Canis lupus familiaris: one gene and its partners. The protein of the gene in region 1 interacts with the protein of each later gene in a biochemical or structural test. Links are inferred from orthologs where the notes say so. Each region holds a gene or a part of one and is shown on either strand. Other genes may lie near its edges. The genes, in order: H2AC20, KAT2A, UBR2, USP16, RNF168, RNF8 and UBE2B.

Region 1 (2,292 bases):
GCCCGCGCCAAGGCCAAGTCGCGCTCGTCCCGTGCCGGCCTGCAGTTCCCGGTGGGCCGGGTGCACCGGCTGCTGCGTAAGGGCAACTACGCCGAGCGGGTGGGGGCCGGCGCCCCGGTGTACCTGGCTGCGGTGCTGGAGTACCTGACGGCCGAGATCCTGGAGCTGGCGGGCAACGCGGCCCGCGACAACAAAAAGACGCGCATCATCCCTCGCCATTTGCAGCTGGCCGTGAGAAATGACGAAGAGCTCAACAAGTTACTCGGGGGTGTCACCATTGCCCAGGGCGGCGTCCTGCCCAATATCCAGGCGGTCTTGTTACCTAAGAAAACGGAGAGTCACAAGCCTGGCAAGAACAAGTAACTGGGATTGAGAGCATCCCCACTAACCCCAAAGGCTCTTTTAAGAGCCACCAACAATGTCAATTGAGGGGCTGGTAACGAAATAGCGCCACTAGCTCTTTTTTTGAAAGCTTAGGTGGCTCTAAAAAGAGCCTTTGATCTTTGGCTTGTCAGGATTTATTTACTTTTGGCTTTGTGGCTTTCAGTTTTCTTTGGTAAGAGAACGGCCTGGATGTTGGGCAGGACGCCGCCCTGGGCGATGGTGACCTTGCCCAGCAGCTTGTTGAGCTCCTCGTCGTTGCGGATGGCCAGCTGCAGGTGGCGGGGGATGATACGCGTCTTCTTGTTGTCGCGGGCCGCGTTGCCCGCCAGCTCCAGGATCTCGGCCGTCAGGTACTCCAGCACGGCCGCCATGTAGACGGGAGCGCCGGCCCCCACCCGCTCGGCGTAGTTGCCCTTACGCAGCAGCCGGTGCACGCGGCCCACTGGGAACTGCAGGCCGGCGCGGGACGAGCGCGACTTGGCCTTGGCGCGGGCCTTGCCTCCTTGCTTGCCACGACCAGACATGATTGCTAGCGAGGTTAAAACACCTAAAGCTCAGACCTGACAACAAAACAGCAGCGAAAGATGAGCGATGGAAAAGCCTTTATAAGCTTTGCTAGGGGTGGGGTCAGGAACGAGGTTTTCATTGGTCCTAAATTGGCTCCAGAACCGGCCAATGAGGCCAAGAGTAGGTGTTGTGACGCAGCTGTTGCTGATAACGCAAGGTCCCCACAAGGCCCAATGGAAACGAAAGGTTTTAGGAGCCCTTATTTGCATACGGTGGTTATAAAAGGCTCAGGCCCGCCCATTCTCGCACTTCCTTTCTTCCCCAACGCGTGTGCTCCTTTACAATGCCTGAGCCTGCAAAATCCGCTCCCGCGCCCAAAAAGGGCTCGAAAAAGGCGGTCACCAAAGCTCAAAAGAAGGACGGCAAGAAGCGCAAGCGCAGCCGCAAGGAGAGCTACTCCATCTACGTGTACAAGGTGTTGAAGCAGGTGCACCCCGACACCGGCATCTCGTCCAAGGCCATGGGCATCATGAACTCGTTCGTCAACGACATCTTCGAGCGCATCGCCGGCGAGGCCTCCCGCCTGGCGCATTACAACAAGCGCTCCACCATCACCTCCCGGGAGATCCAGACGGCCGTGCGCCTGCTGCTGCCCGGCGAGCTGGCCAAGCACGCCGTGTCCGAGGGCACCAAGGCCGTCACCAAGTACACCAGCTCCAAGTGAGTCCCTGCCGGGACGCGGCGCCCGCCGGGGTCGCCGGCCGCCTGACTCCAAAGGCTCTTTTCAGAGCCACCCACCTAATCACCTGAAAAGAGCTTTGTTCACTTATTTTACCCTTCACTTTCTTCTCACAAAGTAAGTTCCTTGTGGAAGGTGGAAGGTAGTACGCGGAGCTTTTCAAGCCATTCGTACTTGGAGATTCCCGGCGCGTGACTGGCTTTGCTTTCTAATCTGGGTCGCGTCTTAACCCCGTAACTGCTGCTTAGTTCTACAAACTCCTTCGAATTAGGATACTGAAAATCTCCCCACCTCCCGTCGCCGGACTATTGCGTCCTGGCCGCTCTGGGGTGGACGTCTCACTGGTGTTCTAAATCAAATTGGGTGACTTCGGTCGTCCTTTAAGAAAGGATCAGCTAAGCCCGGGTCCCGGGAACGTTGCGACCAGCCCCGAAGAATTCTGAGCGTGCGGCAGCCAAGCCGCCTGGCGCGGTCACCGCCTCTGCGGCGCGGCGCGGCCTCCCGTGGACCCCGCGGTGTGGGCGCCGGGGGCGGGGCCTGCGCTCGACTCCTATAGCCTCTTCGTGATTGGACGGTATGAATATTCAAAATCTGGCGCCGGCCCCCAAAGTCGTGGATTCTGGTGTCCGCCGAACCCTTTGAAGCTTTGAAATCCCTCCCTA
Region 2 (4,080 bases), on another chromosome or scaffold:
TACGTGGCAGTAGCAGAGCCATCTGCGGGCAGAGGGGAGGTAGGATGGAGAATGGAGACACTAAACCCAGGTTGGGCTTACGAGCACAAGCACCCCCACCCCTACCCCCTCCCCCACCCCCCGCTGGCCTTGGCCAGCCCTACCTGGTATAATTGACCTTGTAAGTAGCCACATCCTCAGCCTGAGACCGCTGCCGAAATTGGGCAGGAGTCTCAAGCTTCCAGTAGTTAAGGCAGAGCAGGAACATCTTTGAGAGTTCAAACATCGTCTGCCGCTCCCGAGGAGCCAGGTGACTAAACTTATACTGCACAAAGTTCAGCACACCCTGAGAAGGGGTGGGTAGGGAACAAGACCAGGAAGGAGACGTGAGCGGCCAGCAGGGGTTTCTTATACAAAATCTGGTGCTTCCTGAGGGCAGGCTAAAGCTCCCCTCTCACTCGGGCTCTCTGTGAAGAAAAATTGTGCCCCCTTCCCAGCCCCATGCCCATCTTGAACATCCTCCCTTCTCTGAACCTGTCCCTTGTTCTCAGCTTGAGGAAGATGGGGAACACAGGCTCCTCACTCCTCCAAGATGCCCCCAATTCTCTTACTACCTTCCTCATCCCACCTGCTCAATATTAGGCTTCTCAAATGGGGGACTGCCCAGGGAGCCCTCCACCACTGGCCGGGTCATCTGCAGGATGCATTTCCGCAGGAGCTGGAGGAAGAGGAAGAGGGAGGAGTAGAGGTCAGTGGAGCTCAGAGCTGCAAACTCCCCAGTCCAGCCCCACCTCCTTTGCTCATTCACACTCACTTGGATGAAGCTCACCTTGAAGAGGTAGAAATAGACCTGCTTAGTGTCCGTGTCCTCCTCTTTGTGAACAGACATGAACAGGTTCTCCACGTCTACCACCATACCCAGCAGCCGGTTAATCTCATCTTCTGACACATTCTCCAGGTGGGACACGTGGTCAGCTGCAAGAAGGAAAGGTGGTAGGATTGGAAAGAAAGGATAGATGACGAGAGCTCTCTCTCACTCTTCATCACCAATTTACAACCTTGGTAGCTCCAAACAGCATGACCAGTAGTGAGACTGACTGCTACTATGTCAGCCTTGGGTGGACCCTGTCTATTCCGGGCTGGCAAATTTCCTTTCTCTTCCCTTGGGAGGGATACATGTTCCCAACCCAATCCCTCCTTCGGAGGCATTTTTGGTTCCAAAGATAAAACTCAGTGGCACTTAAATTATCCTGTCCAAGCAGGCCCCAGGACCTGCCCCCGCCCCAGCTCCAAGGGCACTACCTGCCTTACCCAAGGGGTGCTCACAGCTGCGGCACAGCTCGCTCAGGTTGGCAGCTGGCTGCTGCAGGTCCATGCGGGGTGCAGTGGGGGGCTTGGGGTTTTTCCAGCCATTACACTTGCAGGTTTCATTGGCCTGGCGTTAGAAAACTCGGTCAATAGCCCTGTAACCGGGCACGGGGAGCCGATCCCCAGCCACAGATTTGCCCCCATTCCCACCGGAGCCCTGGGATGCCCCAAGCCCCGCCCCTTCTCACCCCAGGCCCCGCCCCCACCTTGCAAGCCGAGAAGACCCCTAGCTTCTCAAGCTTCTTGGCGCGCGGCAGCCCCCGGACTTGCGCCTTCCTCTGGCTGGCGCGCTGCTGCTGGCTCAGGCCAGGTCGAGCCGGATCCCCTCCGCTCCCGGTCCCCCCACTTCCTACCCCGGGACCCCCAGTCCCTGTGCTGCCGGCTGGGGCTGCAACTGGCGCGGGGGCTGGTGCCGGAGTGGGAGCCGGAGTCGGGGCTGAAGCCGGGCTGGGGGCAGGAGTCGGAGGTGGGGCAGGGGCTGGAGACTGAAGGGGACGGGGCTGCGTGGCCGGAGCCGGGGTCGAGGCCTGGGAAGGTTCCGCCATGGCCTCCCCCGCAGCGGAGCGCGGCGCGGCGCTCCTAGCCCTAGGGCCGCATGGGCAACCGGCGCTCGGTGCGCAGGCGTCGCTGCGCCGGAGCATGATGGGAGTTGTAGTCTTCCACGACCGCTCCCTCCGTTTCTGGCTTCCAGACTTTTCTGTCCTGCCTCTTGGCCCCAGACAAGCAAGTGAAGCCTGAGCCATTACCCTAGATTGTCTCCTCCTCACTTCTAATCTCTTTGAAGTCTTATGGGATAGCGAGGATTGCCGTTTTCTTGGGGACTTGGAGGAGCATCTGAGAAAACAGGCTCCTGTTGAGGGGAATCACAGATGCTGCCCGGGGTCGTGTTGGCTTCCGCCCCTCCACCCCCTGTCCCTGTCCCACACGTCTGCGGACACGGAAGTGCAGCCACAGCGGAGATTAAGAAGCAACACTTCCATTTCTTGCCCCGTGGAGGTGGCTACATGGGGGTGCTCTCTGGGGGATAATTCAGTGGTACTCTCTGGTGCGCTTCTTCTATTATGTTATATTTCAGCAATAAAGGATTATCATAAAAGCCGTGAGCGCCTGAAGGCAGGGTTCGCGTCTTCCTTCTGTCCCAGAGCCCAGCCCTCAGGCGGCCACAGTAGACCCAGAGTCTGACGAATGAAGGAAACCAGGAAGTCGCGGTCACCTCCTAAGCCCCGTGTCACAAGACCGTGCGCGGTCAGGATGGAAGACCCTCACGGTCACACCCCCGGGCTCGGTTCAGGGGACAGCCCTTCTTGTCCTCAGGCCTGATTCTGGGAAGGGCAAGAGCCCGGCTCCATCTCGCCTCCGCCCTGCGCTGGTGAGCGCTACAGGGTCGGCTGGTCTGCGCTGGTGGGTCACCGCCCCGGGAGCCAGGATGAGAGCAGCAGTGGCGCGCCAGGGCGGTGACCACCAGGCCTGCGGAGACCGGACTGGCGTAGCAGGCGGCCGCGGAGGAGCGGAGGAGCCAGGCCGCCCCAGGGCCTCTCCCCAGGGCGCGCAGCCGCACCCCCGCCCCCCCCCCCCCCCACGCCGCCGCCGCCACCGAGCGCCCAGAGCCACGCCCAGGGCCTCGCGCCCTCGCCCTCGGACAGCAGTTGCTCAGTCGGATGCAGCGGGTTGGTAGCGGTCTCCCCAGCGGGAGCCAGGTGGCATCCCGCTGTCCCAGCGTGGCCCTTGCCCAACAGAACCAGGTGGCCACACTGCCCGTACGGCTCCTGAGGGACGATGTGGTGACTGCGCAGAACAACTTCCATGCAGAGAATGGCTTCCAGATGAAGGTGGATGCCTGTGGCTTTGCCCCGGAGGAGCTGGTGGTGCAAGTGGACGGCCAATGTCTGATGGTGACCGGCCAGAGGCAACTGGAGGGCTGCAGCCCAGATGGGGCTGGCTACCGTGTGGCGCAGAGGGTGCATCGGCAGATCCAACTACCACCGGACCTGGATCCCACTGCCGTGACCTGCAGCATGACCCCCTCCGGCCAGCTGTGCGTCGGAGGCCAGTGCCAGGGCGCTGCCTTCCCAGGAAGCCCAAAAAGGCCCATCCCCGAGACTCCGAGGCCATGGCTCTAAGAAAGGTCAACCTACCCTGACCCAGTAAACAACAATTCTAGTGTGCAGCAGCAGCCTTGGTGTTCTGTGGTCTTTTCTTGGGGTTGGGATCAAAGGTGGAGGCATAATGGAGGTAGAGAGAGGGCCAGTGGAGGGCTTAGGGAGGCAGGAAAAGCACTTTACGGTGGTGGTCCAACAAGAATCAGGCCTCTGTGGCCCCGGGAGGAGCTGGGTCCGGGGCTCAGTAGACCAACAGCCCTGTGCTGGGCAAATGACAGCAGCAGCTCCAGCAGGGAGCAGCAGAGGGCCAGGATGGCAGCGGGGGCACCAGGCTCCACAACCAGCAGAGGGCCCCGGCAGACCAGAGATCAGATAGATACAAAGACTGGACTTGATGTGGGGTGGTCTCTTGGTCTGAAGACCAGGCAAAGGTTCCAGAGATCACCTGGGAAGAGGATGAGAAGACCCAGTCCTTCACAAGGTACAGACTAACCAAAAAACCCCAAGAGGTGGTTTCTGTTGTTTCAGAGACCAACTATTTTCAAATACAAACTGCACATCACCCCAATATAATCTGGAGGGGGGTGGGGGCAAGGCTAATACAAGCCCTCAATTTCAAACTTGGGGAGATTCA
Region 3 (3,500 bases), on another chromosome or scaffold:
ACATCAAATGAGAGTGGCTATGTGGTATGTAACAGTTAAAACCTATTCTACTAAGCGGCTATCATTCTAGGAAGGCACCTCTTAGTAAGAACAATAATGCTTAAAAATAATAAAAACCCTGGGCCCAAAAGCTGTCCCAGGAATGTACTAAGTGAGCCAGCAGGTAAACAGTAATTCGTCTATTCCAGGAAATGCTAGAAAGGGTAGGGGAACCTCAAAACACTGAATTCTCATTTTTTTCTTCTAGTTTGATTCTAGATGCATACAATCTCTTGGTTTAGTCTTAGAAATGGGAATATATTGTCTGAGAAATTAGGATAGTCTAAGTTTTCAAAAAGCCCTTTAAAATGAGTTTTTTTCTCAAAGCCAAAAGTCTTGCCCCCCTCCCCCCACAAATCCAACTTTTATAGCCCTGAAAACCACCCAGCATATGAAGCAACCAGGCTCTCTCCATCCCACAGGCTCTTCCTGCACATGTGCCCCAACCTGCTCATAGCCAATGGAGACAGGGATAGCCACTTTCAAAATCCACTGCTTTGCTCTTAGAGGTAGGGTCCTGTCAGCAGAGGGGACAGCGACCTAGTCCCAGTGTTGAGAGTCACTGAAAGGGACCAGGAAATGTGACCCCAACAGACCACAGAGACTGTTTCCTGCTGCTGTCGAATCAGCTTCAGGCCTGGCGTGCCTTGTGATCAGTAACATAACATGGCTCAGACTACTGGGAACAGTCAAAGCGGTTAGACGCCCACAAAGGGGCTGTGCCCAGCCTGGGAAGAGAAATTCCTCGCTGAATTCTAAAACTCAAGCAGTTATATTGAGGGACACAGCAAACGGTGCAAGAAAATCCACTGATGGAAGATGATTTTCATCAGTCCCTGGAGCCAGAAACTATGAAAACAAAACTGGGAAGAAAAGCTTAAATATAGAATTTATTTCCAAATTCAGTAGAATTTATTTCCTATTCTTTCCTGAAAAGCCAACTGGGTTACAAAAATCCAAGTTTATGTTTTTGGTAGTGAAGTAACTATAAATGTTGCCAGTCGATGCCAACCAGTGTCTGATTTGCTTCCTGTGCATGTCCAATTTCCTCCGTGATACTGTGCTGGTGCCAAAGCTTCTGAATCTTCTTAAATCGCTCTTTGCACAAATGTAAAGGATTTCCCCGTCTAGAAGGAAGACGCATGTCATTCAGGATGCATTCTTTTTATTCATCTATTATACCCCAACTTTTAGGAACAGTTACAAGTTACTGGTTTAAGATCCTCTGCAAAATTCCTGTTTGGTATGAGACTGTGGCTATTAACACATTAGCTCTGAAGGCTGGCTAGGAGCAGCTGAAGGGAGTAAGTACTGAAAAGAAGAGGAAAATGTATAGGAGCTACACTTACTCAGATTATGGTGAGGGAAGAGAGGCTAGGGTTGAGCAGGAGGGTCTGGGTGGAGAGGCTACAACTACCTATTCATTATCCACTTTGTTGGTAAAAAGTAAGACTGAAGGAGGCAGGGGAGATGGAAAGAGAACTGCAGAAGTAAAAATGTTTCCCATGGTGCTGTTTTTTAGCCATAAAGTCTAGTAAGCAAGGCAGGCAATTGTGAATAACATCTGGGTCTAATTTAACCATAGAAGTTTTGATGAGTTCATGCTGGTGGCCTTTGTTCCTGATTCAGAGCACACACAATCCTCTTACTCTCTAACCAGGGCTCTTCCTCCTAAGAGCCCACATTCCTCAGGGCAATGGAAGAACCATCACCAGGTGGCATTACGTGCATAACCTTGTAGCCAAGCCCCTGGGGCAGCCTTCTACTTATCTTGCCTTGGTTTCCAGTTCTTAATTTTCTGCTTCCCAAGGCTGGATGGTTTTACCTAGGTTAAGACTTTCACCTCCTCTGGGCAAAGAGATGGTCTAGAAGAAGTTAATAGTGCTTGAGGGAACTGTTGTTAGCATTTTTCTCATGATATAATAGAAGCAACCAGAGTAGAAGTGATTAAGCCTCAAATACTGTTGTATTGCTCTATATGTTCTACATCTTTGTCCTCAGATTTTTTTTTTAAAGATTTTATTTATTTATTCGTGAGAGACACAGAGAGAGAGGGGGAGAGAGGCAGAGACACAGGCAGAGGGAGAAGCAGGCTCCATGCAGGGAGCCCAACATGGGACTTGACCCCACGGTCTCCAGGATCACGCCCTGGACTGAAGGTGGTGCTAAACCGCTGAGCCACTCAGGCTGCCCTCAGATTCTTGTTAATAACATAAGCACGTCTCTCTTTTTTTCAAGTAGGCTTTATGCCCAATGTGGGGCTTAAACGCATGACCCTGAGATCAAAAGTTTTATGCTCTACTGACTGAGCCAGCCAGATGCCCCAAACACATCTCTTATCAATTAATATTTGCTCTTTTATAACTTCTGAACAACACTGGGTCTCCTCTTACAAAGTCATACAAGTCACAACAGGCTACTTCAATGGTTCTCTGGAGTGACAAATGGGAAAAAACTTGCTTTTCTCTTATTATTTCCCTTATCTGTCCTGATTGCCCTCATGACATTCTTATTTATTTATTTTAGAAAGAAAAAGAAAAAGAGAGAGAGTACAAGTGGGGGAGGGGCAGAGGGACAAGCAGACTCCCTGATCACTAGGACTGATCAGTGTACTGAAGGCTCTAGAGGCCCAGGATCAGCCAACCCAGTGCCCTAGGATGGGCTCTTACCTGAGTCCCTGGTCAGTTTCCCCATAGTCATCAAGGTAAGGAGGAGAATAAAAACAGCCTTTGGTTTTGCCAGCTAAAAATAGCACCTGACATTCCCGCACTCTGTAGAGAGACCATTTATACAGTACAGATTAGTAACCAATGTTTGGATTCAGTTCCTAATGGACTGAAGTCTTATAAAAAATAAACAACCCCAGTGTTAGAAGAAACAGCCTTTATAGCAGAGATACTTGAAGTATCAACACATCTGCCCAAATTTTAAAAATAACTAAAATGATTGTATTATACCCAATAATGATTGCATTGTAAATCAATATAGTGAGGAAGAGGAATATTTTAGATTAGGAATCAGTGGCTCATGTAATACTGGCATTTAAAAAACTATTAAGTGTAAGAGAGATAGTTAACTTTTTTTTTTTTTAAGATTTTATTTATTTATTCATAGAGACAGAGAGAGGGAGAGGCAGAGACACAGGCAGAGGAAGAAGCAGGCATCATACAGAGAGCCCGACGTGGGACTCGATCCAGGGTCTCCAGGATCACGCCCTGGTCTGCAGGCGGCGCCAAACCGCTGCGCCACTGGGGCTGCCCCAGATAGTTAACTTTTAAACATAGATACTGATACTTTAACCACTATTATGTGCGAACTGCTCATTTAAAAAAAATGTACAAAAACATTCTGAATTAGGTTGATTTGAAACACAAAGCAGTACTGTACATGACTGAAAGAATTTTGAAATATGCCAGACAAGAGACATTTTTATTTCTTTAAAGGGTTATTAAAAAACATGT
Region 4 (4,210 bases), on another chromosome or scaffold:
CTTGCTTAGCTCTGCAGTCTATGCAAATTAAATTGATAATTTCTCCAAGAAAAATTTCAAAAAATTCTGAAGATAATCTACTAAATGGAGTTAGAAAATTTACAAATTCCAAAGCTAAATATAAAAAGTGATCCACTGTTCCACATTTTCCATACCAGTATTCCCTGTGGGTTATTAGCTAACTGAGAATTTATTACAAGTGCATTCTCAACTGTTTACACTATTATATTACTGCCAAAATCTTTTTGGAAGACTATGACAAACCTAGCTGCACAACAAATCTTCTCCTCCTTAGTCAACAATTCAAAACTAGAAAACATGAAAACTGTTGAAAGTATATAGATCTACCTACCTTTAAATAATGATTTGGAAAACTTGTACTTCACATCAAAAGCTCAGTGTCAACATCACCTAAATGACTGTAATAGTTACTTTACCTGGGATGCTTATTAAAATTCTGATTACCTAAGTGGAAAGTAGGACCTGGGAGACAGGTTTTGAAAACCCTTCCCAATTAATTCTGATACTCAGCTGTCATCCTGTCCTGGCTAAGGTTTTAGAATTATCCCTCTTTTAGCTCTTGATTGGTTAGTGTAAGTGAAGTTAATTCAAAAAGATGTATATGAAAAAGGAGTACCACATCAAGCAACTGTTAAACCTTCCAAGGATCATCTAAAATGTAACAAGGCTCCAAGTTAACAAAATAAATGAGTTAACTAACAACAAACAAAAAACACAAAGGATATGGGTATATATAAAACTAGGGTATATTTTAAGTAAGTTCTGTCACCCTAAAATAACATGTTATGTAATTTATCTTCTCTAGAATTACAGATTTTAAGGGGAAAAAAAATAGTACCCAAGTTCTTGCGTCCAATCCAACTACCTCTAATCTGTGCTGCATTCCAGTACTAGATATTCCTTCTAATAATGCCATTCTCATCATATCCATGCTCCTGAGCTATGCACTCACGGTCCTTTACAAAGTGTCCTCAATGCTCTGGTAATCCTGATTCTCATTACTTCTCAGCAAAGAACCACTAAAGTTCCATTCTAATTATACACTGCTTTTGATCTTCAAAGCCTTTTCATAAGCATTATCTTACTTGATTTTCACAATAACCCTTTAAATGGAGAATTTTGCTAAAGGAAAAAAAAAAAAAAAAAAAAACAAAACTCAAAAACAAAAGTGATGGAAGACTACAGGGCGGCAGAGATGGAATTAAAACCCAGCTCTTTCGGTTCCAAGACCACCACTCTTTGCATCCTCATCAAGCCAGTCTCTCCAAAAACACCTTTAAGCCTGTGATCTCTAGCTGGGAAGGTTGCCTCCATCTATCCAAATCTTACCAATTCTCCAAAATGTCCATTTCAATGAAGCCTTAGGCAACCGTTCTATTTTAAATAAACCTCTCAACTGAACTTCCCCAACCTTTATAAATGTGCACTATTCACTTTGTTCCCTAATCCGATGGGCTACATCTTAAATTTTGGATCTGGACACCTGTTATTTCTCTATCTGGAATCTAAAGTTTTAGGAGAAAGAGGCGGTTTCAGGCATCACTTCTGAATTGCCAAAAAGCATCTATCTAACATAGCGTCGGTACATACAGAAATACTTCTCAAGAAATACTTCTTGCATTGAAACAGAAAGAAAGAGCATAATACTACCTGAGACATTAAAAAATAAAAAATAAAAAATAAACGATTATAAGGTACAAAGGTAGGTATACCCTAAGAATGAAGCAAACAGGTTCCGGTGAAAAACAAAAAGGTAACGAGTGAATTCGTCCCCACTAGCAAATCTGGTCTGAGGACTGCAGTAGCCCAGCCTCCAAAGAAAAACTTGAAAGACTGATTGTAACTACTCCAGGGAGAGGACGGTAGGGGCTCGCTTCAGAGCTGCGGAAAGCGCTGCAATACATCGTTCGCGGCTGCAAAGGGCATCAAAGGAGTCGAGAAAAGAGACTGGCAAGCACCACCAGCTATAAAGCATCATCAATAAATCTGTGAAGTTTTTCAGATGAGTCGACAGACGAGAGTCAGCTTCTCGGCCAAGTGACTCTTTGCAGGACTCCACACAAAATTTAAATCGAAGCTGGTCTTGCCGGCTCGCGTAACTAACCCGTTCTCGTCCCTTCCCAGCCTTCTCATGCCAGCTCGAAACCCATTCAAAAAAAAAAAAAAAAAGGAAGAGCGTTCGGAAAAGTTTTGTCAGCAGGTCTGAAGTGCGGCTTTCAAGTTCGGCGTAGCCGTGACCTACCCTAGTTCCCTGAACCGGAGAGATGACAGACCCGGCTTCTCCTACTAACCCCCACATGGAACCCAACCCCAACGTGTCGGGGCGCTCCGGGCCGCGCGCTGCCTGCCACACCTCCCCTTCCCGTCCAACTGCTCCGCACCCACGGGGGAGCCTGGGGGTCCGGGGTCGAACAGGGCGCCAGCACCGACAACTCATTGGCCAGCTCCTGGAACAGACAGGACATGAAGCCAATGAGAACGCGGTACCGGGCCGAGGCCGGGTAACGTGCTTTGGGAAGAGGAGCCTTCGGGAGGAGAACGAGGTTAAAGGCAGGAGATTCGGGTTCTCGAGACGCAGGACATCGTGCCAGCGCTGACTGCGAGGCAGTGGGAACAGAACTCACCCACGGCGACAGCGCCCATAGCTGCACCCCCTAATGGGCCCGCGGGCTGGGCAGCCAGCTCCGTCTTCCTCCCGATGACGGAGAGAGAGCGACAGAGCAGAAGCCAGATTGACCCCCAGAAAGCAACAACTTCCGGTACGCGGCATTATGGGAGGTGGCTAAGCCCCGCCCCCGGGGCCTGCGGCGCCGACGCTATTTCGTTGGCGCCTGCGCGCGGTTCCCTCCGGAAGTTCAGACGCAGCTGCCTGGAGGAGCCTGGGGGCGGTCGGTATCCCTCCCTCTTTTTTTTTTTTTTTTTTTAAGATTTTATTTATTTATAGAGACACAGAGAGAGAGGCAGAGACTCAGGCAGAGGGAGAAGCAGGCTTCATGCGGAGAGCCCGACGTGGGACTCGATCCGGGGTCTCCAGGATCACGCCCTGGGCTGCAGGCGGCGCTAAACCGCTGAGCCACCGGGGCTGCCCAGTATCCCTGCCTCTGAAGTAATTAAGGGATTATTGAAATGCTTCGGAAGTCCGCGTACCTGGTGGTGGTCAGAGACCTGGAACCTCCTGGATGACATCCTCCTGACCTTACATCACGTCTGAACGTGAACGTATGTAAATAACGTTTACATTTCACGCAGTTGCCCTCATTGTGTCCGATCGACTTCTGAGGTTGGGAACATAAATCGTCTTGCCGACTGAAGGTGAAATTTCCATTTACTGTGTGTCCGTTCAAAATATGTTAAGTGCCGAGGCCCATGTGAAGTGAATTGAATAAACACAGGCTCGCTGCTCTGGGGCGTTAATCTACGGAAGACAAGACCATCGCTGGGGGGGGGGGGGGGGGGAGATGCAAGCGCCAACCGAAAAATAGGCAAGGGAGACGCACAGGTAATTCACAATAAAAGGACAATTGGTCGTTAAGAGATAGGACGAAATGTCCATCCTTATTAGTAATCCGATAAAGGTAGATTAAGAAAGTGGCATCCTCACCTGATCAATTTGGCCAGAGTCACAAGGGTTACATTTGACTCTCCTGCTTTTTTACTGCTGATAAGATTTTTTTTTTTTTTCAAGTTTTCTTCACTCAGCACACAGGCATTTCTTTTTTTTTTTCTATTCTAAAATGCAGCCTTAGGGACATTGCTTGCTTCTTCTTGCTTCCTCTGCCTAGAATGCTGCTCCCCATGATCTTCTGTGGTTGCTATTATAATTCTGTTCACACATTTAAAGCTACTTTAAAAAAAAAAAAAGACTATTTATTTATGCACGAGAGACACACACACAGAGATGCAGAGACACAGGCAGAGGGAGAAGCAGGCTCCATGCAGGGAGACCGACGTGGGACTCCATCCCTGATCTCCAGGATTACATCCTGGGCTGAAGGCAGCGCTAAACCGCTGAGCCACCGAGGCTGCCCTAAAAGTCACTTTCTCACAGAGAAATTGGCTGGGCAATCTAGGTTATGTAGCCACCTGATCACTCACCTCACTTTATTTTATGTCGCTACCCAGTAATAATCACTATCTAGTATTTTTCTTTCATTTTTAGATATATATTTCTCTCCCTACACACACCTCC
Region 5 (3,500 bases), on another chromosome or scaffold:
ATTAAAAACAAGAAGGATTAGAACAAGACTCTTTACAGGCAGAGATGACCCCAGATTCTCCTCTCTGGTGTATTTTTTTTACTTATGTCATTTGTTATTCTATTGATCAATGTCTTAAATTTCCTAATTGTGTACCTTTTTAAAACTATTCCACTAAAATTTTAAAAAGAAGAAATATATTAAAAAGGGCAAGGGTGGGGCGCCTGGGTGGCTCAACTGGTTAAACATCTGCCCTCGGCTCAGGGGTCCTAGGATTGAGCCCCGTGTTGGGCTCCCTGCTCAGAGGGGAGTCTGCTTCTCCTTCTGCCTCTCCCCCTGACTTGTGCTCTCTCAAATAAATAAATAATAAATATTTTTTTTAAAAAAGGGCAGGGGTGCCAGGATGGCTCAGTTGGTTAAGTTTCTGACTCTACTTCACAAAGGTCATGATCTCTGGGTTGTGTGCTGGGTGTGAAGCTTAAGATTCTCTCTCCCCTCTCTGACCCACTTTCCCCTCTTGAAAAAAAAAAAGGGGGGGATATATAATCTAAAACTTGGGTACACTATGAATAGTAGGCCTCTCCAAAAAAAAAAAAAACTCAATTCTAGATATATTTTGTTTTGTTAAGTATATTTTAAGATATTTATTGTTTATAAACAGGAATTGTTTTTAGATACTCTCAAACTTGAGTGCACACCAGGCTTCCCTAGATGCCTCTGGGAAAGGTATTCCGAGAATCCCACCCCCAGAGAATCTGATACAGTAGACTTAGAACAGGTATGGGGGGCACCTAGGTGGTCAGGTGCTCAGGGTGTGACCCCGGATCGAGTCCCGCATCAGCTCCCTGCAGGGAGCCTGCTTCTTCCTCTGTCTGCGTCTCAGCCTCTTGTCTGTCTCTCGGGATTACATAAATAAAATTAAATTAAAAAAAAAAAAGAAAAAGTATGGGAATTTGTATTTTAAAAGAACCTTTGGTGATTCTGTCAGGATCGCACTGTACCCTCAGGACTCAAAGTATGGTTTTATCATCCTTCTATTCATCTTTCCCAAGGCAGTAATTTAACTACACAGCAAAATAATAAAATCCAGGTCTAGCGTATTACTTAAAAATTTAATGTGCTTCACTTCCATTTCTTTTTAAGATTTTATTTAATGTGCTTCACTTTCAAAAAGTGATTTGCATCCATATAATTTAATGTTTTTGCCACTCTTAAAAAGATTTAGATAAGACTGTGTAGCTACAGGAACAATCTCTAAGATATACCAAGTGAAAACAGGCAAGAAAAAAACGGAGTGTGACTGATACATTATTTTTAGGTGAATAAGAAAAATTAAGGAACTGTTTAGTGCTAACCTTTGGGGAGACTGAGGTAATGGAAAAGGAATGAGAATATGGAGGTGGGAGGGGACAGAGGAAGCTTTCACTGTGAATAACTTTCCTACAGACTCTGAATTTACTAAAATACTTAGGATTTTTTTCACATGTACTTCAGAGCAAATACATAACATGCAAAAAATGTAATAATACGCAAAAAATTTTGTTTTAATTAGAACATATATGTCAAAAATCGCTTCTAGTAGGGGATTCCTGGGTGGCTCAGCGGTTTGGCACCTGCCTTTGGCCCAGGGTGCAATCCTGGGGTCCCGGGATCGAGTCCACGTTGGGCTCCCGGCGTGGATCCTGCTTCTCCCTCCTCCTGTGTCTCTGCCTCTCTCTCTCTCTCTATGTCTATCATAAATAAATAAATAAATCTTTAAAAATCACTTCTACTCATGGTGAACTTCCTCAGATCTTTGAAACCCACGTAGTTTCACGGTTGTGAGATGGAGCCCCAGGTTGGGCTCCACCCTCAGTGTGGAGTCTGCTGGAGTCTCTCTCCCCCTCTGCCCCTCCTGCTTGTGTTCTCTTTCTCTCTAAAATAAATAAGTAAATCCTAAAGAAAGAAAGAGAAGAAAGAGAAGAAAGAAAAGAAGGAAGGAAGGAAGGAAGGAAGGAAGGAAGGAAGGAAGGAAGGAAGGAAGGAAGGAAGGAAGGAAGGAAGCCAAAAACCATGTAGTCAAAGCAATAGGAACATCAATACTTCACGGTTCTCTCCTAAAACTTACGATATTAACGCTTAGCTTTCTTGCTAGTTCCTCATCACTTTTCAGTTGCTCTTCCATCTCTCTTCGCCTTTTTTCTGCCTGTCGTTTTTCCTCCTCTTCCTCCTCTGCTAATAATCTCTGTATGTATTCTTCACTGGCTTTGTTTTCTTCTTCTTCACTAGCTCGTCGCTCTGCCTCCACCTTAAAAATGATTAATAAAGAACAATTCTCTGAACTTTTAAATATTTAATATATTTAACTTTTTTTTTAAGTAGGCTCCACATCCAGTATGGAGCCCAACACAGGGCTTGAACTCATGACCCTGAGATCAAGACCTGAGCAGAGATCAAGAGTCGGATGCTTAACCAAACAAGCCACTAAGGTGCTCCTATACTTGCAACGTTTCTTGAGAAGAACAGCAAAAGTAATAAAAAAAAGAAAAAATTGGCAGGAATTACAATGTTTCAAATGATGTACAAATATGAAAGCAAATTCCTACAAAACAGGAAGCCTTCCCCAGTCAGCCCTATGAAATCTTCATCAAACCTCCACTCCTCTTCACCTACCACACCTTCAACTACACTGTTATCCTGAAGTTAGGAGGAAGCCCCCAGGCACAGTGGGTGGGACTGGAGTGGTTGCTGAAGAAGCAACCACAATGGTGATTATGTGATTTACAGATGAGCAGACAGAAAAGCAAGTAACTTTTTTTTTAAAGCTTCTTTTAAAAAAGATTTTTATTTATTCATGACAGACACAGAGAGAGGCAGAGACACAGGCAGAAGAAGCAGGCTCCATGCAGGGAGCCCAATATGAGACTCGATCCCTGATCTCCAGGATTACACCCTGGGCTGAAGGCTAAACCGCTGGGCCACCACGGCTGCCTGCAAATAACTTTCTGAGCTCATGGCAGAGTAGAGACTCCAGCTCAAATTCTAAGACTCGAGGCCATGTTTGTGGTAATTTAAACTGTACTTCCTGGGGCACCTGGGTGGCTCTGTGGTTGAACATCTGCCTTCGGCTCAGGGTGTTCAGGATGTGATCCCGGAGTCCTGGGATCGAGTCCTGCCTCTGGCTCCCCACAGGGAGCTTACTTCTCCCTCTGCCTGTGTCTCTGCCTCTGTTTCTCATGAATAAATAAAATCTTTTTTTAAAAAAAGAAGAAATATGAGGGAAATAATCTCTTCCTCTGCCATGTGAGGACACAAGGAATAGGCAGTGGTCAAGCCAGGATAGCAAGTCCTCATCCAACAGATCTGCCTGTGTCTCAATCTTTGACTCCCCAGACCCAGAATTCTGAGAAATAAATGCTTTTTGTTTACCCACCCAGTTTACAGTATTTTTGTTATGGCAGCCCCAATGGAAGAAGATACCCATAATCTACCACCTTTTTTCCATGCTTTAAACTCAAAGCTTCAGGGAAATAAAAAAAAAA
Region 6 (3,500 bases), on another chromosome or scaffold:
CATTCTACCTTCCGCTTCATCCATTCATTGATACAGTAGGAGCAGAAACTGTGGGCACAGTTCAAGGTGACAGCCTACAATGGGAATGTGAACACACATATCAGAACTATCATACTTACTTTCCCAGCACAGTTGTGATCTCAAAGCTAGGACAGGAGTTCACTGCCAAGGCCAAATGGAAATTTAACTCTAATCCCATCTAGAAAGCTTACAGATGGTATTAAAATTGTTCTTGGGGATAGGAAATTTTAAGTTAGATGATTCATTTTCTTTCTCAAAGGTAAGTTCATAGATGTAGGCTGATTTGTCTGTCTTGTTCCACCAACTCAGATGACACTGCCAATGCCAGATTAGCTACCTTGCAAACAAATGTCACTGGACACAAGTATGATTTGTAAGTGTGTGAATGTTTGGTACAAATACATTACCAATTTTTTCATGGAAAACAAATGTATAGCCTGCTAATGGTGAACCAGAACTTCAATTTTAATAGACGCTGGGGAGCACATTCTGAATATTCAGTATATAGAATGGTAGAAAGCATCATCTGTACTCAAAGAAACTTAAAAAGTAGAATACATGTTAAAAGACAACTAAAAAGGCTGGGAAAAAAGAAACTGAAAAAATGGGAAAAATGTAATGGGTTCACTGACAGTGACTGAATCAAGTAAATACACTTGTGAGAAGAGGGAAAGCGGAAGGGAGTCTAAATCTGAGTAACTCCTCTAAGTAACTCCAATGGTCAGATTTCTGCCAGGGTCCTTTCCACTTTTCTTTTAAACAAGATCCTTTTTTTTAAAAAAATATTTTATTTATTTACTTGAGAGTGAGTAAGTGAGAGGGAGGGAAGGAGAAGAAGAGAGAATCTGAAGCAGACTCTGCACCCAGCACAGGGCTTGATCCCCTGATCTTAAGAGCATGACTTGAGCCAGAACAAGAGTCAGACATTTAACCAACTGAGCCACCCAGGCACCCTGCCCTATCTGCTTCTAAAAATATAAAAACCATGCTCTTTATTACTGTTGTTTATGTACATCTCCTAAAATACAAGTTTTTCTGAGGCTCAAAAGTCTTCATTCCTGCTTTTAAGGATAGCAGTGGAAAATAACAGAAATTATGCATTTTTCAAATGCCAAGTTGAGCACAGAAAGTCAACTAGGAGTTATTTTGTTAACTATGTGAGATAAATCCTCACAAACATGACTAAAAACCTGATTAAAATAAAACTTCTTTCCGATACTGACTTTACAAGGTGATCATGGAAAAGGTCAGACAGTCTGCTGTAAACAAAGCATGGGTCAGGTTGTCTCTTCTACATCGGTAGAGATGCTCTGGGTGGGCTAACTGATCACCTTTCTGAACCCCCCTTCCCTGGCCTTCCTCCAGCAGAGCCCTGTCAAAGCCAGACTGAGTTTCTACAAAGTAGGGAATTAAATAACTAGAAACAATGGGGGAAATGGTGTCAATTTGATCCACAGCAAAAGAAACAGATCTGCCCAGGAGGGATTTCTCGGGAGGCTAATACACTCAACCTCCCTAGAGACTACCAGAAAGGAGGACAGAGTGCGTGCATGCATTTTCCTTTTTAAAGAAGTCTGAAAAGCACTGTCATTTAACTTGAGTTTCAGATGAATGGCGTATGATGAACTGGTCACAAATGGTAGAATTTGTGAAAAATAAAGTCCTAAGGAAAAATATGACATGATGACAAATGGTAACCTAGAAGAGGTTTTGTTTTCATAGGGAGCCTCAGAGTCCCTGAAATATGTTCCACCTGGCTGCTGAAGTCCCAAAGTGACCACACATCAGTGACATTTACCACCCCGTCACAGGCTGCACGAGCTGCCTACTCTCAGCACTGTGTCCATTCAGAGTAAAGAAAGAAAAGCTTTATAGAGTAGCTTTACACCGATACTTCAAAAATCTAATACCATGTGGCCCTGTTTTCTCCCAACACCAAAGAAATACAGGCTTTACTGCAGCTAAAAATAGTGATTGTACCAAATAAACACTCAACATCACGCAAAATGAGAAAAAGATCAGTGAAGGTGAAGAAAACTACAAAAACAAATGAGATATGGCCATCTCTCGAGGTCACTTTGAAGTCAAGTAACTACAACAGATTCCTAGAATAAAAATCGCTTCAGAATGTTTCCCTAGGGCAGAACCTGTGTAGCTGAGGCTCCGTGCGGTAGAGAGAACAAAAAGGCATGAGCCACTGCTTATAATTACCTCAATGAAGTATTCTGAGCAAATAATACACTGGAGCTCATTCTCTAGCACATCATTCACGTGGCTAAGGACTTCCTCCTTCTGGGCTTGCATCTTCTCCTTCTCTTCCTGAAAAGACACACAACCCCACCTGTCATTTGGGGGAACCGACGAGAATGCAAAACAGGACAGGGAGCAATTGTTTGGAATAATATTCAGGACTCTAAATAAAAAATTCAACCTGGCACAGCAACATGATACTAAAACTCTTTCCCTAAGGGTTATGGCTTCTCAGAACTGCTTTCTGATACAGGGCACTGTCTTCCTTTCTTTCCTCTCTCCACTTCTTCTGCATTTGCACCACAGGTTCTGTCTCCTTTCCCAGAACCAAATGAGAAAAACTGAAGGTAGCATACTCAGCACACCAACCACCCAAGACCAGAATGAGGCTTTATGTATCCTATAACCAATGGCAGTTTAGAGGTGATATAAAATCATCTCAAGCAACCAAGAACTCACTGGACATGAAAGCAGACATGAAAAACACTCCATAGAGGCAGGAAGCCTGAATTAATTTATAAGGCCCCCTGTATTCCTTGCAGCTGCCTCTTCTGCAAAATAAGGATGTTATTTATACTCCCTGGAGGCAGGGGGCTGATTGGGATCTAAGCTGTATGATGCTTGCCACCTCCTCCTCCTGTAGGTCTGCAGTCCAATTTCCCTTTCCTTTCCCCAAGAGGTCAGACCACTTGTGGACACACTTTTGGGGGTGGGGATGCTAGGTGTTTTCTCTTGCTTCTAATTTAGCACCTCATCCCCAGACCAAAAGTGTCAGAAGCCCCTGAAGGGAAAGGAAAGGCCATTTAGGATATATCTGAGGGGCTGATTAATTTTTCATCTTTTTTTTATCTCTTCTAATCAAAGTAAAGACTGTACACTGCTTTGGGCAGCAAAGAGGTCTGGACCCATTTTAACTAAAGTCAAGTTCCCTGAAAACTTAAAAATTGCTAGGTTTAAAAAGATGTGGTGGTTTTCTGGGAATTAAGAAAGAAGGTACTATGTGATTTAAACAAAAGATAAAGATCTCAAACCAAATGAAAGTTGAATCTCCTTTCTGTATTCTGCTCCAGGCCTGTCTGGATAGGGAAGGGTAGGCTGAGAGATGTAGTCAGCCTCAGGTACTGGTTTCATGTCAAAGGTTCCAAACTGATGGCCTGTGGACTGCATGTGGCTGGCAGATTTGTTTAGTTTGGTCCTGATGGTATTTAAAACAAAACAAAACAAAACAA
Region 7 (3,500 bases), on another chromosome or scaffold:
AATGTCTTAAATTATAAAGACAGTTTTAATTATAAGGAACCCAAGAAAGTCTCAGGGACTTGAAGGGGGTTTATGGACCACCTGAGAACCCCTGGTACAGTGCAAAAAGCTGAAGTCCTTAGAGCTACTTCTCTTCAATTCCTTATCCCCACTTAGAAGAAACCACTGATAATGGTGTGGTTTATAACCCTTTAATACCCACACACTTGGATATATGTGTTTAGTAAAAATATACGTTTTTCTAAAACTTTGTCTCGAGACATATGTCCAGATTTGCCTTATTATTCTTCAACAAGTACATAATATTCCATAATATAGATACCTCATAATTTGCTTAACCATTTTCCCCTATTAAGCATTCAGGTTATCTCCTTAAAAAATAGTATCTTTGTTCAAATATTTTCAATGGGTTAATTCTGGAGACATTTTGATAATTAAAACAAATCTGTTCAATAATTTTTAAAAATCTATGCTGTAATTAGAGAAAATCTAAGAACCCGATTACAATCAATTTGAAAAGTGCAATTATAAATACGTATCAGGACCAGTTTCCCATTTTCCTGGCTTTTGGTGGAAATACTAAATTTAAGAAGTAAAAAGATTATACACAGAATGCTACTTATGGGTGTCAAAAGCCAACTGTATGTGAAGCTACTGGCAGGTCTTTCTTACTTTCTTTTAAGATTTCAGTTATTTTATTTTTAAGTAATCTCTGCACCAAATGTGAGGCTCGACCTTACAACCCTGAGACAGAGTCACGTGCTCTACTGAATGAGCCAGCCAGATGCCTCAGCTATGAAAGTTTAAGAACAATTTCAGCTTGACACTTTATCAACATAGATAACAATGTTAAAAAAGCACCATTATCCACCATTAACCTACTATCTAGGCCTACAGTTCTACAGCCAAATACCAAAGTAACACAAAGAACTGGCAATGGAGGTGGTCAAGCTGATACAGAAAATAGTTTTAAGTATGTTGGTGTTAACAATTATTTACTTAAACGCAGCGTCCTAGTATTACAGAAAACATAATTGAGAATGACTTACCATCTTCAAAGGGTGTCCCTTCTGGTCTGAAAACAAGAAGATTTCTGATTAAAAGATGTTTCATTCTGCCTTTTCCTAATTTTTTTTTTTTTTTTTTTTTTTAAGTAGGGTCCAGGCCCAATGCAGAACCCAACACAGTGCCTAACTCCAGAGATCTAAAACCTGAGGTGAGGGATCCCTGGGTGGCGCAGCTGTTTAGCGTCTGCCCTTGGCCCAGGGCGCGATCCTGGAGACCCGGGATTGAATCCCACGTCGGGCTCCCGGTGCATGGAGCCTGCTTCTCCCTCTGCCTATGTCTCTGCCCGCCCCCCCCCCCCCCCGCACCGTGTGTGTGTGTGTGTGTGTGTGTGTGTGTGTGACTATCATAAATAAATAAAAATTAAAAAAAAAAACCTTTTAAAACCTGAGGTGAGATGATGAATCAGTTGCCCATACAAGCCACCCAGGCACCCCTCTTTTTCTTGATTTTTAAGAGTCAAAAGGATAAACACACAGAGAAAGAGGGGGCTTATTCTAATGATTTGTGGAGTTTTAAAGATACTGATAGTTTAGTACCATCTTAGCTCTAGATTTTTATAGAGATAGGCATAAAGGATAGCTATTCTAGGTTTTCATTTTAGGGGGGATTTACAAAGACAAGCCTCATAGTTTTAGCACCAATTCAGTTCATAAATACCAACCAGTCACTTTGTAAAAGTATATTCTTAAGAGAAAAAATCATATTTTCAATTCACATCAATAAGATGGAAATGCCCCTGCAAGATAATTATATAACACCAAACCAAGCATCCTGCTTCCCAACAAAGCAACACCTCTTGTTCAAAACAGCTAGAGAACTGATGTAACCAAGAAAGCCACTTTCTTTTGCTCAAACCTTTTCCCTGCCTCCATACCCCAATTTCATCTTTCCTAAGCAGCACCATCAAGCGTTATTTCTTCTTGCAAGGCACATTCAGGACCTCAAAGCATGTTAGCCTGAATTTAATGTAATCTATTTTTAAAAAGATTTTATTATTCATTCACGAGAGAGAGAGAGAGAGAGAGAGAGAGGCAGAGACATAGGCAGAGGGGAGAAGCAGGCTCCATTGGCAGGGGTGGGGTGGTGGTGGTGGTGGTGGTGGTGGTGGTTCCTGCTTGATGCAGGACCCCATTCTAGGACTCTAAGACCTGAGCCAAAGGCAGATGCTCAACTGCTGAGCCACCCAGGTACCCCAAATATAATCTCTTTAGAAGAATAAACTACACTCATTTTTCCACTAGTATTTAATATAGTTTCATAACTAATTCAATGGCTACTCAGAATTGTTTATGAAGGTGTACCTTTAAGGTTTTAGTACAAACCCCTGGTTTTAAAAAGTGTGAAAGAAAAAGAGATCAAGTCCAGAAAAATAAAAGACATAAGGAAATTTTAAATTAAGAGGCATATATATACAGGGCACCCATATAGCTCAGTGGTTGATTTGGGCTCAGGTCATGATCTCAGGGTTGTGCCATGGAGCCCTGCGTTGGGCTTGGCACGTGGTGTGGAGTCTGCTTGAGATTTTCTCTCTCTCCCCCCTCTACTCCTGCCTCTATTAAAAAAAAAAAAAAAAGTGTTATATATATAACATGTGATACATTTCTCATGAATTCTTGCCACACTGGAAGCTCTGGGTATTTTTTAGTTCTTAGTCTTTTTACAGTTCCAAAAGAATGCAAGCATAAACATTTGCTTGGTACAATTTATTCTGTACAATAATTTACCTTTTCTTGTTTAATTTTTATCAGATAAAACCCAAAGTGATTGTAAAATCATAAATAATACAACACAAATTTTAGTTAACTGCAGAAATACTTAACAGAATTTCTTTTCTAATTTACTTTGCAGTTTCTGTAAGAGCCCTCAATTCCACCTCAGCCTCTTTGCCTACTTGCTACATTCACTTTTCTTAAAAGAATTACTATACCTATCATTTTTTATATCTTTCCACTCACCCAAATATAACTGCATTCCACTGCATAATGTTGTTTTCAGATGGTGCGCCACTGACACCCACAGGTGGGTCCTCTTGCAATCTAGAAATCCAGAGTAGTAATTTTCAAAGTTGAACATTAAGGTCGCTATGAAGGCCAAAGAGAACCCTTATGGACTATTCTACCTACTTTAACACCATTTCCTTGTTCTTGTGCTTAGGGGGAAAATAATATGACTTTAAAAAAAAGAAATCAACCACATATATACTTCTTAAACACCTCTCCAAATTGACTAAAATTCCAAAGGCCTTTGGACTCATCCTTTTTTGAATATCAAGCTTAAGATGTACCTTTGAGAAGTGATACACACAGAATGCCATCAACAAAAATTAAAGGCCCCGAGTCCGATTTTCACAGACCACCTTTTTTGGTGCTCTAAAGATGCAAAGACGGTCTGATTCCAAACCACAGCTACCTGTGCAACATGACCACCCCCGC

Evidence for each region.
Region 2: of the proteins of H2AC20 (region 1) and KAT2A, one has a biochemical effect on the other in vitro, tested with the Homo sapiens proteins (2 studies listed by BioGRID). The link is inferred for Canis lupus familiaris from reciprocal best matches to the Homo sapiens genes H2AC20 and KAT2A.
Region 3: the proteins of H2AC20 (region 1) and UBR2 form a complex in vitro, tested with the Homo sapiens proteins (2 studies listed by BioGRID, with this or other methods). The link is inferred for Canis lupus familiaris from reciprocal best matches to the Homo sapiens genes H2AC20 and UBR2.
Region 4: of the proteins of H2AC20 (region 1) and USP16, one has a biochemical effect on the other in vitro, tested with the Homo sapiens proteins (2 studies listed by BioGRID). The link is inferred for Canis lupus familiaris from reciprocal best matches to the Homo sapiens genes H2AC20 and USP16.
Region 5: of the proteins of H2AC20 (region 1) and RNF168, one has a biochemical effect on the other in vitro, tested with the Homo sapiens proteins (4 studies listed by BioGRID, with this or other methods). The link is inferred for Canis lupus familiaris from reciprocal best matches to the Homo sapiens genes H2AC20 and RNF168.
Region 6: of the proteins of H2AC20 (region 1) and RNF8, one has a biochemical effect on the other in vitro, tested with the Homo sapiens proteins (2 studies listed by BioGRID). The link is inferred for Canis lupus familiaris from reciprocal best matches to the Homo sapiens genes H2AC20 and RNF8.
Region 7: of the proteins of H2AC20 (region 1) and UBE2B, one has a biochemical effect on the other in vitro, tested with the Homo sapiens proteins (2 studies listed by BioGRID, with this or other methods). The link is inferred for Canis lupus familiaris from reciprocal best matches to the Homo sapiens genes H2AC20 and UBE2B.

What each region holds. Positions count from the first base shown.
Region 1 is NC_049238.1:59,831,278-59,833,569, reverse strand, and holds H2AC20 (histone H2A type 2-C), read right to left. Parts: upstream 961-2,292; 5' UTR 909-960; coding exon 519-908; 3' UTR 501-518; downstream 1-500. Other genes in the region: H2AC21 (histone H2A type 2-B), read left to right, coding at 1-363; H2BC21 (histone H2B type 2-E), read left to right, coding at 1,235-1,615. UniProt on the Homo sapiens protein: Core component of nucleosome. Nucleosomes wrap and compact DNA into chromatin, limiting DNA accessibility to the cellular machineries which require DNA as a template.
Region 2 is NC_049230.1:20,651,322-20,655,401, reverse strand, and holds the start of KAT2A (histone acetyltransferase KAT2A), read right to left. Parts: upstream 2,801-4,080; 5' UTR 2,091-2,800; coding exon 1,554-2,090; intron 1,415-1,553; coding exon 1,291-1,414; intron 955-1,290; coding exon 809-954; intron 698-808; coding exon 608-697; intron 326-607; coding exon 144-325; intron 23-143; coding exon 1-22. Other genes in the region: HSPB9 (heat shock protein beta-9), read left to right, coding at 3,006-3,467. UniProt on the Homo sapiens protein: Protein lysine acyltransferase that can act as a acetyltransferase, glutaryltransferase, succinyltransferase or malonyltransferase, depending on the context.
Region 3 is NC_049233.1:11,480,380-11,483,879, reverse strand, and holds part of UBR2 (E3 ubiquitin-protein ligase UBR2), read right to left. Parts: intron 2,811-3,500; coding exon 2,709-2,810; intron 1,167-2,708; coding exon 1,025-1,166; 3' UTR 1-1,024. UniProt on the Homo sapiens protein: E3 ubiquitin-protein ligase which is a component of the N-end rule pathway.
Region 4 is NC_049252.1:24,570,350-24,574,559, reverse strand, and holds the start of USP16 (ubiquitin carboxyl-terminal hydrolase 16), read right to left. Parts: upstream 2,801-4,210; 5' UTR 2,665-2,800; coding exon of another isoform or gene 2,646-2,664; intron 2,404-2,645; exon of another isoform or gene 2,264-2,403; intron 2,147-2,263; exon of another isoform or gene 1,734-2,146; intron 1-1,733. UniProt on the Homo sapiens protein: Specifically deubiquitinates 'Lys-120' of histone H2A (H2AK119Ub), a specific tag for epigenetic transcriptional repression, thereby acting as a coactivator.
Region 5 is NC_049254.1:30,253,054-30,256,553, forward strand, and holds part of RNF168 (E3 ubiquitin-protein ligase RNF168), read right to left. Parts: intron 2,267-3,500; coding exon 2,087-2,266; intron 1-2,086. UniProt on the Homo sapiens protein: E3 ubiquitin-protein ligase required for accumulation of repair proteins to sites of DNA damage. Acts with UBE2N/UBC13 to amplify the RNF8-dependent histone ubiquitination.
Region 6 is NC_049233.1:6,586,602-6,590,101, reverse strand, and holds part of RNF8 (E3 ubiquitin-protein ligase RNF8), read right to left. Parts: intron 2,341-3,500; coding exon 2,233-2,340; intron 75-2,232; coding exon 1-74. UniProt on the Homo sapiens protein: E3 ubiquitin-protein ligase that plays a key role in DNA damage signaling via 2 distinct roles: by mediating the 'Lys-63'-linked ubiquitination of histones H2A and H2AX and promoting the recruitment of DNA repair proteins at double-strand breaks (DSBs) sites, and by catalyzing 'Lys-48'-linked ubiquitination to remove target proteins from DNA damage sites.
Region 7 is NC_049232.1:22,535,474-22,538,973, reverse strand, and holds part of UBE2B (ubiquitin-conjugating enzyme E2 B), read right to left. Parts: intron 3,105-3,500; coding exon 3,024-3,104; intron 1,076-3,023; coding exon 1,050-1,075; intron 1-1,049. UniProt on the Homo sapiens protein: E2 ubiquitin-conjugating enzyme that accepts ubiquitin from the ubiquitin-activating enzyme E1 and transfers it to a E3 ubiquitin-protein ligase. In vitro catalyzes 'Lys-11'-, as well as 'Lys-48'- and 'Lys-63'-linked polyubiquitination.